Linked DNA regions of Pelodiscus sinensis. The protein of the gene in region 1 binds, or shares a complex with, the protein of each later gene. Links are inferred from orthologs where the notes say so. Each region holds a gene or a part of one and is shown on either strand. Other genes may lie near its edges.

Region 1 (3,746 bases):
TCAAAAGTCAAGATACACCACATTTACTCCTCCTCTGCATCTACAAGGCTTGTTACCATCTCAAAGAAAGTTATTAGGTTGGTTTAACACAATTTGTTCTTGACAAATTTATGCTATTACTTATCACCTTCTAAGTGTGTGCAAATTGATTGCATAATTATTTGCTCCATTATGTTTCTAGATACTGAAGTTAAGGTGATTGATGGTCTGTAATTCCCCAAATTGTGTTTATTCCCCATGCCAATCCAAGATTTGGTCTACTGCAAACCCCAAGCTATAGGTACCAAAAGCAAGTTGCACTGGCTTTTCAGACATTATGGAGGCAAATGCAAGAGCTTCATGTGGGCCCCAAAAACTGTACACAGAGGGTGACATCAAAACCTGCGTCCAGAGCAAGAAGAAAGGAGGACTGTACTGGACTGGATCTCAGGGTTAATGATATCTATGGTCCCTTTAGAGAAAGGGGCCAACAATCTTCGTAACAAGAGTGCAGCAGTCTGTCCAGCACTTACCGAGCACAAGCCCAAATCCTTATATGGATCTTGGAGTCATGACTCGGCAGCAGCTGCATAGTCAAGGGCACCAGGCTAATATGCCAGAGCTCTTAATGTGCTCACCGCATAGAGATTGTGTATGGGGGACATTCAGGTGAGCCCACTGCCGCAGAGACCCCTCAATAGCTACTATTCAGCAGACTTTGGAGCGCCTACAGTGGGCAGGCTATTCGGGCTGAGCTCTTCCCAGTGGGAGAGAGACTAGCCTCTACTGCAACGAGACAATCGCATCTAAAATATCATTGACATACCGTAAAGCAGCCCTCTCCTCATGCGACCCAGGCCCCGGTCCAGCTCACGGTCCCTCTGTCTCATTGCTTGTTCTGCTGCCTCCCTCTGGCTGGCAGTCAGTTCCTCCACATCCTCATCATCCAAGGCCAGCCCCTCAGCTTCATAGATATCCAGCTCTGGAATCGGGCGGTAGTCCCTAGGCACACACAGATCTAGTTTAATCAGTTTTGCGGTGCAACCAAATTACAGTGTTTCTCCAGACTCTTTACTCTCTGGGGCAAGGTGGCATGAGGAAGATCAAGCAAAACAGAGAGGAATTTTACAGTCTCTTGTTACCAGTGGCAGACACTCCAATACAATGACAATAGATACCAATATACAAACCTAGACTAAGTCTCTGTAACATACAGCTCAATGGTTTGCTATTGGACCCGGGGTAAGTGATGGGTTTTTTAAACCCAGTTACAAAGGTTCCACTGTTTGTAGAACAAGCAGGATTGTGAGTTTCGAGCTCCCCTGTGTGAGGGGCTAGCACTGATCTGAGCCAGACACAGTCTGGTCAGGAATTATACACGTTCACCTTCACAACTCACCAACCGTTCCTCTCTGACTTGCTATCCTAGCTATGGGCATCTGTCCATAGCCCTCACCAGTGCTGTGTATCCCCTTTGCTCTTCCCATCTCATGCTTCTCTTCAGCTGACACACCGCATGGAATGGACTATGCCCTCCTAAGAGGCACTTGAGAAACACCCATACAGCGTGAATGTGCTGATCTACAAAGTATATTCTGAAAGGTGCACAAAAGAGGACCAGGCTGAAGACAACAAGTTCTCTCCCTAACGGCCCTCAAAAGAACCTGAAACCTGTGTCCAGAGGTATTGCCCCCTTTGCGAACATGCTTCCTGCATGGAACAGCCCCAGGAAGCATCTCGCGTCGCTGCCTGACTGCTGCATGCTCCCTACCTTTCCATCCCATCCCCAATCAGCTCTTCCCCATCCTCCTCCTCTTCAGGGAGCCCCTCAGTCCCCAGTAGCCCCTCTGATTCATCCTCAAAAGGAGGCAGGTCTCTGCCTGGGCTGGAAGTGAAGGTATCTCGCCGAGAGCTACGGACAGGGCTGGTGGCCACATTCTGGGACTCGGAGGAATCCTGCAGGAAAGGCAGAGTCGTGTTAGAGGCTGGCAGAAAAAGACTTTCCCATAGAGCATGCACAGGTCTAACTCATCCCCTCCAGGGACCACGGAACTGGATAAAGTGGAAGGGATGTTTAATGCTTGATTGGTCTACGCTCCCAGCAGACCCCACAGTGCCAGAGTAGGTCTGAGAAGGGACAAGCCATCTCCACCAGGGAAGTTAAAATAAGCTCAATAATTAACCTATTGTGCACATATAGACACAAAATGCAGGACAATGTAGCACTTTAAAGACTAACAAGATGGTTTATTAGATGATGAGCTTTCGTGGGCCAGACCCACTTCCTCAGATCAAATAGTGGAAGAAAATAGTCACAACCATATATACCAAAGGATACAATTAAAAAAAATGAACAAATATGAAAACACCTTCTTTAAAAGTCCCCTCCCCCATACAGAGTTAACGGGGGGGGAGGGGGGAGTTTTTCCATGCAAAGTGGCTCCCACCTCCACAGAAAGCCCAAGACATGTGGGGGGGGGTTGTGTGCCCAGGGTCCCCCCCCCATGCAGAGCCCAGGGCACGGGGGTGGGTTGTGTGCTCAGGGACCCCTCCCCCATGCAGAGCCCGGGGGGAGGGTTTCGTGCTTAGGGTCCCCTCCTCCATCCCCAGCCGGACCCCGCCGCTCACCGCCATCCCCGCTGCCGCTACAGCTTCCGCCAACTCAACTCCCGGGCGCGAAACAATCCCACGTGGTCGGCAAAAGCCCGCGAAACCTCATGAATAATTAACGAGCCGCTCATGAATATTCAGCAGCGTGTTGTGAGTCGGCGCGAGATTCGGGAAGGTGCCGGGACGCTGCGGGGCTGGTGCTGAGGCTGGGTACAGGCTGACTGGAGGGGGCTACACAACATAAGCAGAGACCGCGGGAATGTTGCAGTGCGCTGGGGTCAGCACAGGCTGGCATCTTATTCCAGGCCCAGCACAGCTGGGTAGGGTGAGCAAGTGGCATTTCCCACGGAGACAAACCAATGCCCGCACTCTTTAAAGTGTCAACAACCATAGGCGCTGGAACAACCTCCCCCCCACACCTCCCCGGTTTGAAGTGATTTTCATTATCTAGAGGGTCCCCTCTTGGCACCCTCACTATAAAAATTGTCCCAGCACCCAACCAGTTTTTACAAGATCCCAACTTCAGGCACATTGTGCCTGGTTTTCAGAAATGACCTAATCAAATCCATGAGTGCTACAGGTGCTTAGCGCCTCTGAAAATCAGGCCCATTGGACAGTTTGGGGCAGCTACCCCAGGCCTCATGCTTTGGGGGGCCTACAGAGACCAAAGCAGCCTAGGAGATTGTCAGAAGGCCTGGGACTAGCAGCAAGGATTGCGCCCACCCCACACTAACCAATGGCGTCGGGAGCTGCAGGAAGCAGAGAGACACAACAGCCTGTTTTGTGCTCTGCCATCTACGGGTGGGTTGCTCCTGGATGGTGGGGGGAGGTTGTTCCAGGGCCTATGGTTGGGCACTTGTTGACACTTTAAAAAGTGCGGGCATTGGTTTGTCTCCTTGGGAAATGCCACTTGCTCACCCTATCCAGCTGTGCTGGGCCTGGAATAAGATGCCACCATGTGCTGACACCAGAGCACTGCAACATTACATTCCCTGGCAGTGGGAAGCGGAGTGACCCAGCAGCCTGCTTTGCTTTTCCAAGCAACATGGCTGGGAATTAGGCTAGGGCTGGGTTGTTCAACTTCCCGCTGCCATGGGGAGTGCAGGAGGGCCCGACCTTTGCTGCCAGTGCCAGGCCCCCACTAATCCTCTGGGCAA
Region 2 (3,746 bases), on another chromosome or scaffold:
AGGGTTGTTTACTTATGTCCCAGACAGGCTCCCTGAGGCGGCTCCCTCAATGCGTTGGGCCCAAAGGGACAAACTCCGACCCCCTCGCAGAGCAGTGACGTGTTTGTTGCTGGACAGGCTCCCCTAGCGCCTCCCCTGCCCGGGCACAACAATGCACGCGCGATGACTCCGCAGCTTTCTCCGTCCCGTCCCCCTGCGCCCCCCGTTCTTAGGCACCCCCACAAACCCCCGGAAAGGCTTTTACCATCCTGTCGCGCCGTCTTCTTGCTTATACAGCTCTCGGCAGGGGATCCCAGAGAAGCGCCTTCTCGTCTGGGCAGGATCAATGCAGCGACGGCTGCTCCTCCCCCCACAGGAAATCCTCTGCTGAGGGAAAGGGAAGCAGGGAGGAGGAAATCACTGGGCCCTGCCCCTTTGCTCTAAGAGTGACTTTCAGTTTCGACAGGCGTGGGGGCTATCCTACCAGCGGTGAACGCGATCAGCAGAAACCGAACGCCCTCATAGGTCTCAAAGGCGCGAAAAACATTTGGGAGGTTTGGTCCACTGTTCCCACTAAACTACATTTCCCAGAATGCAACGGCTTATCAATAGCCCCTTATTGAGAAAGCCAAGAGACTTCCGGTGCAGCCCCTTGGAGAAAAGGCGGAAGTTGCTTCACAGGCGTCAACATCGTTTTTTGTTAAACAAACGATTTTTCCTATTCACTCCTGAAACAGTTATATTTTAGAGCTTATGGCTTGTTTATATCTAATAGAGGGGCTGGTGAGGAATCTTGCCCATGTCAACAATGGCGACGATGATGGGCGATGTAGACGGACACACAAAATGGCGGTTTCAGGAGCGCTTCGTGGCGATTGGCCAATCGCTCGGCTCCTCGATCGCCACAATCGCAATGTGGTTGGTGGAGGGCTGAGACGATCGGATGGATAGTCCAATCAGAGCTGTAGAGATACAAAGTACTGGAATGTTATTGGGGCGTGGCCAGGACGCTGAGACCAATGGGAATTGGCGCGATTTGGCGCCTGCTTTGAGTGAGACTGAGGAGATCCGAACGGAGGGAGCAACACCAGCAGTCGCCGCTCTCCCGCCTTGCAGCGCGGCGGTAGCGGCCCGGTCTCGGCAATGTTCCTCTCCGACTTCCGTAAGGAGTTCTACGAGGTGATAGTGACTCAGGTAAGCGGCGTCCGGGGCGGGGGGGAGTATGAAGCCCGAACCGGAGCGGAGACAAGCCCAGGGGGAGCGAACCCGCATCCTGAACGGGGCCTACTAACTCCTGGCCCAGTGAGGTAGCGGGTTCCAGCAACCGCCGGGCCGCCCTGCTCCAGCTCCTGTCTCTCTCCCCGCTCCCCGCCAGCAGGTGCTTTGAGGGTAGAGGGGTCGCTCGCGATGGGAGGGCTCCTAGCTAGACTCTGGAGGGTCTTGCGCCTTTCTCCGCGCAACGCCCCGTGGGTCGGGCTGGATCCGCGCTCCGCAGGGTCCTGATAGGGCGGGACCGTGTCACTTAGGGAGCCGCCATACCGAGCCGGGGCCTATGCATTGCCCTGCTTTCAGCCTCATGATAGGCGCTGGGTTCCCCTCCTCTTCCCCCTCCAGAGCCCTGCACCCTGCTCCTCTCTCTCCCACCGGCTGCTGGTGCCAGATGCTGGTTTCAGATCGAACTCGACTGAGCAGGGAGGGTTTGCATTCAAGTTCTGGCTCGGTTGCCCGTAGTGGTCAAGTGGAGTCCTCACCTGGGTACATCACCGCTCAGAGTGTGCTTTGCTTTATTGCCTGGATTCTTTGGAGTGCACTCAGAGCTGAGACGCAAAATGTCTCAGAATCAGCAACAAGGTTTTGGAATGTTTTGAATTGTGAAATGGACAAAGAGCATTTTGGTGAGGACAAGGAGCGGTGACATCTACCTGGGTGTAGCTTGTTGAGAGAAATCCCAGATAGGGAGCTATGTGGAAGTAAAAGCTACTAGGTGCCTTGTGGCCGCTAGGATTTTATATTGAGTTTTACATCAAGCTAGCTGTCTTGATGTAAAAATCAATTACAGGGTTATCTTGACATAAGCCGCTTATGTCAATCTTGCTGTAGGTCTTTATTTAAATTTGGCTTCCAGCATTGGTCATATAAATGCTTCTCTGTGCTTATTTTGTATTACCATCTCCATCACTGTTGATGTAATTAAATCAACACAGTGTCACTGCATTGCATACAGCAACTTATGGCTTTCAGAAGCTGTCCAGTGATGCCCCACATTGATATACAAGTTCTCCAGGCGATGATGCCCACCACTGATACAAGGAGCTACGTGTGTGCTAGGGATGTTAGAAATCCTTTATTTTACTAATTGTGTAACTGCAACAATTCTTAGCCGTTACATGATTATTTGATGTCCCCAGGGGCAGGGCCGGCAGTCAGTATACTCTGGCCCACTCCTGGGAAGTCCCCTGCCACCTTGCAGCTGCTGCCTCCAATTTTTAATCAGCTGTTCTCATGATCCGACTCTCACCTGCCACTCTATGCTGCTGTGTCTGTTTCAGAGACAGCAGTGTGGTGTGATTGGTGGGAGTTGGTCCACCAGGGGAGCTGGTTTAAAAATGAGCTCCCTGTACAGACTTCCTGCTGCCCTTCAATGTGGCTTCTCATACAGCCTGCCTCTCCACTGCTGCTTCCATGGCAGCAGCTTCTGTCTGTGGGGAGCTTGGGCCCACAGTAGAAAGGGGCTGCTCCTGCCTTTGATATAGAGGCAGCAGCACAGGGTGGCGGGCAGCTCCCCTGCATGCTCTTCATATAAAACTTGAACTGATGGGCTGGGACTGAGCCAGCTTGCCAGTCTGAGTTTTAAAGGCAGAGCATGGAGTGGGGTGAGATTTGTTGAGGTTAACTGGGACTGTTAACCAGTAAGCAGTATTTATCAAGTGAACAGTTATCCGGCTGGCCAGGAACATCCCTAGTGTATGCATCAACGAGCAATTTTAAAACTGCAATTGTCTGTATGGTAACCTAATTTTGTTGTGTAGACATGGCCAAAAACTATCAAATGACACTAATTAATATATACCAAGCACTGTCAAGAGTTGTTCTTTTGGTTTCAGAATATAGGGTTATATAAAGTTAGAATGAGAGATCACTTATTTGATTGCAAAAATTTTAAAGAAAAATCCTGTAATAAAATTAATTTACATCAGTTATACGATTGCCAGCTTTTGATAAATGCTTAACATAATTTCAGACATATGAATGCTGAAAATGTTGTCATTTTACCCTTTACATTTTGAAATACAGATTTTAAGATAAGGAAGAACAGATTTATTGAACTTCATCAAAGGGTCAAGACATCAGATGTCAAAGCTGCTGCTTGATAACAGAAGGATCCCATTAGGAAACTGGCATGCCTTTTCACAGAAGAAATCACTTTCTTATGAGTTATTTAGAGCTTCTTGTTAAATCTTTATTGGAAAAACATGTTGCAAAAACATGATATTGCTATAACTTTTTTTGAAAATCGCTATACAGGCAGTCCCCGGGTTACGTACAAGATAGGGACTGTAGGTTTGTTCTTAAGTTGAATCTGTATGTAAGTCAGAACTGGCGTCCAGATTCAGACACTGCTGAAACTGACCGCCAGTTCTGACTTACATACAGAATCAACTTAAGAACCCCAGGCATCCCCAAGTCAGCTGCTGCTGAAACTGATCAGCAGCTGATTCCAGGAAGCCCGGGGCAGAGCAACTCTGCCTGGGGCTTCCTGTAGTCAG
Region 3 (3,746 bases), on another chromosome or scaffold:
TTCCAGTCCTATGATTCTATGAATCTAAGGATAGAATATCAACCCCTTTAGCATCACATCAGGGAACTGAGGTCAGCATCCACCAACAGTTCTTCCTGAAACCCACTGAACAATGGTGAAGTGCTGCTATTACACAGCTCCACCAGATAGGTGGCTGCATGTCAGCAGTGAGTATCCCTGCCTGTTTAGGATCTCTGCTTCAACAACTTGCCTAACCCACCAAAAGGCCAGCTGCTTCTCTGCACCAGGTGAGAGATTCCTATATAGTCAGTCGTAGTGTCAATTCTAACAGTCCCTGGCTATCTTGTAGCCTGTGAAGTTAGAGTTCTGCTGTGGCACAGATGTTGGGAGCTGTCACATTGGATTTTAAGGGTAGCAGATCACTGCTGTGCCCACGGGGGTTAGGGTGGGGGGGGAAGGTGTTTTCCCCAAAGTCTATTACAAAGGGGGCCATGTGAGGTGTCAAATGAAAGCATGTGTTCTACTGATTCTATGTATGCTATTCATGTACTTGTGATATCTTTATGTGGAGTTATGAATATGGACTGTGCTTATACTGTGAATGTTCTCTCAGAGCAATGGGCTCTGTTCTGCCTGTTGTACAGAGAACTGGAGTGTCTAAGGGGTTTTGCTCATGATTCTTCTGGCTGGCAGGATTGGCAGCTGAAATTCTCGTGTGTCTGGTTTGTGGCCTATTTAGGAAAGGTTGCCAGTCGGGGGCTGTAAGGAGCCCTGGTTTTGAGCAATTCGCCCTGAGCAGACGCCCTCTCCGGTACCCAGATGTGGGGGTCTGTCACAGGAGCCAACATCTCTGGCAAGATAAATGAACTGGACAGTCATGGGAGTGAGGAGCCCAGGAGCTACTTGCTGACCAATAGGGAGAATTAAATTGTACTTAATTTATCAACCCTCATTTTAAATAAACATGGGAAAGTTAATGTTTCACCCGTTTCATAATCTGAAGTAACAAATTCTCCCTGATTGCAGCACTCGCACCTGACCTGGGTGTAAATGTCATTCATGGCGAGGTTTCCATTAGCATTTGTTTCAGCTCGACCAGACTCACACGGCTCCATCTCTAGCACTAGTCCTAGCTAGGGACCGAGTGAGAACTGCACCCTGGCTCGGCAGCGTGTACCGAGCATGCGCAGTACCAGCCTCGGAGCAGCGCGCGTCAGGCAGCGGCCCCAATGCGAGCTCACAGTGGTCTGGGCGGGCGTCTCGCGCGGGACGGGAAGTCCCAGGGGCGAGCAGCCTCTGCCGGCGGCCAGCCGGAGACCCCGTGGGGACTGGGCCGTAGCGGCGCCGGTTAAGGGCTGCGGAATTCAGTTGCTCTCCCCGCCTCAGCTGCGCGTCTTTGCGGCGGTTCTAGCCCCAGCCGTAAATCAGCGCGCGTCCCCAACGTAACGCGCGCGCGCCAAACCGGGCCCGCGACGCGCGAAGGGATGGGGCTGCTGGAGCAGTGCGAGGCGGCGTTCGGCGCCGCCGACCTCTACCAAGTGCTGGGCGTCAGGCGGGAGGCCTCGGGGGACGAGATCCGCCGCGGCTACCACCGGGTCTCGCTGCGGGTCCATCCCGACCGCGCGGCCCCGGGCCGCAAGGAGGAGGCGACGCGGCACTTCCAGGTGAGCCCGTGGGGGTGAAGGGGGCAAAGACGCGCCCCCAGACCGGCACCCCTGGCTGCCGCCCCCCGGGGGAGGGCTCTGTGGGGAGACTCTATTGGCTGCCCCGTGCCGTGAGGTAGCGGCTTTGGGCCATTGTCCTGGCCCGCGGGCCACGGCTGCTAGCGAGCCTGCATCCCGCGCTGCCTGGGCTGCTTCCGTGGGGCAGGGAGACTGAGCACAAGACGTGGGGCCGGGCCGCTGCTCGGGAGCAGGCGCCGCGGAGAGTGACAGTTGTTTGCTCAGCTCCTAGGCAAGGCCTACGCGGTGCTGAGTGACCAGGCGCAGCGGGCGCTGTATGACGAGCAGGGGGTGGTAGATGAGGAGTCAGATGCGCTGAGCCTGGACCGCAACTGGGAGGAATACTGGAGATTGCTCTTCAAGAAGGTAGGTGCTCCCAGAGCCAAGGGCTAGTGACCTAGGGGGGGTCTTAGTATTGCTACTTTTGGGGAGGGGGTCCCATATCTAGTTCTCCTAGGAGTGTGGATGTGTCGATAATTGATAGATAATGATGGATGCTTGCTCTAAAATGCTGCTGCCTTGGTTAGTAAGAGAACTTCTTCTTTCCAGCTATCTATTGTATCTGTGTTGTACTGTCCTAGGCAGTTGCTAATTCTGTTGTTTTCCAACTCTTCTAGCCCAGACCAACTGCACACCATTTGTGGCAATGACATTCAGCCCATCTAGTCCAGGAGAGTTGGCAACCCTAGCCCCTCACTGCCCCAGAGCATGTGGGCAAGACTTACCAGGCAGACACCTGGGAAAGAATTCTGTTGTAACTCAGAGTAGTATAGTATATTTCCGATAATCCGGCACCTTTAGGACCCAGGGGGTGCCAGATTATCAGATATGCCAGACTATCGGAAGGGGTGGCTATGAGGGGTCTGGTCCCAGACTCCTCATAGCCCCCCCTTCCGATAGTCTGGCTCTGCCCCAGGTGTCCCTGATTCAGCTGCTGCTGGTCAGTTTCAGCAGCGGCTGAATCCGGGACGCCTGCAGCAGAGCAGCTGGAGTGCTGCCGGGTTCGTCTGGTAGCGCCGACCCTTGGCGCGGCGAGACCAACCCGGCAGCACCCCAGCTGCTCTTGGGGATGCCTGGGGCAGAGCAGCTGGGGTGCTGCCGGGTTGGTCCCGCAGCACCGCCCCTCGGCGCTACTGAACCAACCCGGCAGCACCCCAGTTGCTCCGCCCCAGGTGTCCCCCAAGTCAGCCGCTGGTCAGTTTCAACAGCAGCTGAATCGGCATGCCTGGGACAGAGCAGCTGGGGTGCTGCGGGGGTGGTCCCCGCAGCGCCACATCTCGGTGCTGTGGGGACCAACCTGGCAGCACCCCAGCTGCTCTGCCCCAGGTGTACCCAAGTCAGCCACTGCTGAAACTGATCAGCGGCTGATTCCAGGAAGCCAGAGCAGAGCTGCTCTACCTCGGGCTTCCTGGAGTCAGCCGCTGGTCAGTTTTAGCAGTGGCTGAATTGGGGAAGCTGGGGGCAGAGCAGCTCCAATGGTCCGGCTGCTCGGAGCACTTCCGGGTTCCTGATGGTGCCGGACCATCAGGGATGCCGGACCATCGGAGTTTTACTGTATGTAAGCAACTAGTCGAATCATTACTTGCTTCTCCTTCCCCTTGCTGCCTCTGTAACAGAGGCAGGAAGGGGGTAAGACTGTGTTTACTGAGACTAGGGATGGCAAAAAACAGCTGTTAATATAACGATTAAAAATCTTAGTGGTTACACACTGTGGGCTCTGCAGGATAAGCTTTATACTGCAGAGTCTACAGCACAGGGTGACAGCTGGCTCCCCGAGAACAGGGCTGGGAGCCAGAGTTGGTGGGAATCAGCTTAAGTGCACCAGCTGCTGGCCCTGCTCACAGAGAGCTGGTTGCTGCCCCGTGCTGCAGGTTTTGATAAGGAGCCTGCAGCCTGGGGCAGAAGCTAGCTCCCCAGGAGCTGGTGTGTAACCGTAACAGAAATGGATAAACTGAAGCTTATTGGTTAACTGTTTAAATGGGTACACACTTGTATCGCTAACTCGGACACAGTAAAGAGACTTATGTAAGGTCTTATTCCAGAGATGCAACTCCATTGTGGGGC

Evidence for each region.
Region 2: MCM2 (region 1) and CDC45 share a complex: the UniProt entries of both Homo sapiens proteins name them as parts of the CMG helicase complex. The link is inferred for Pelodiscus sinensis from reciprocal best matches to the Homo sapiens genes MCM2 and CDC45.
Region 3: the proteins of MCM2 (region 1) and DNAJC9 are in contact, whole or in part, in a crystal structure (PDB 7CJ0), measured with the Homo sapiens proteins. The link is inferred for Pelodiscus sinensis from reciprocal best matches to the Homo sapiens genes MCM2 and DNAJC9. Residues at the interface, in NP_004517.2 of Homo sapiens: Glu65, Glu66, Glu67, Asp68, Glu104; in NP_056005.1 of Homo sapiens: Lys185, Arg189, Arg192, Lys244.

The regions. Positions count from the first base shown.
Region 1 is NC_134721.1:24,313,195-24,316,940, reverse strand, and holds the start of MCM2 (DNA replication licensing factor MCM2), read right to left. Parts: upstream 2,765-3,746; 5' UTR 2,614-2,764; coding exon 2,608-2,613; intron 1,936-2,607; coding exon 1,751-1,935; intron 982-1,750; coding exon 806-981; intron 1-805. UniProt on the Homo sapiens protein: Acts as a component of the MCM2-7 complex (MCM complex) which is the replicative helicase essential for 'once per cell cycle' DNA replication initiation and elongation in eukaryotic cells.
Region 2 is NC_134725.1:17,712,459-17,716,204, forward strand, and holds the start of CDC45 (cell division control protein 45 homolog), read left to right. Parts: upstream 1-806; 5' UTR 807-1,122; coding exon 1,123-1,173; intron 1,174-3,746. Other genes in the region: UFD1 (ubiquitin recognition factor in ER-associated degradation protein 1), read right to left, coding at 245-247. UniProt on the Homo sapiens protein: Required for initiation of chromosomal DNA replication. Core component of CDC45-MCM-GINS (CMG) helicase, the molecular machine that unwinds template DNA during replication, and around which the replisome is built.
Region 3 is NC_134718.1:33,557,101-33,560,846, reverse strand, and holds the start of DNAJC9 (dnaJ homolog subfamily C member 9), read left to right. Parts: upstream 1-1,198; 5' UTR 1,199-1,445; coding exon 1,446-1,625; intron 1,626-1,907; coding exon 1,908-2,048; intron 2,049-3,746.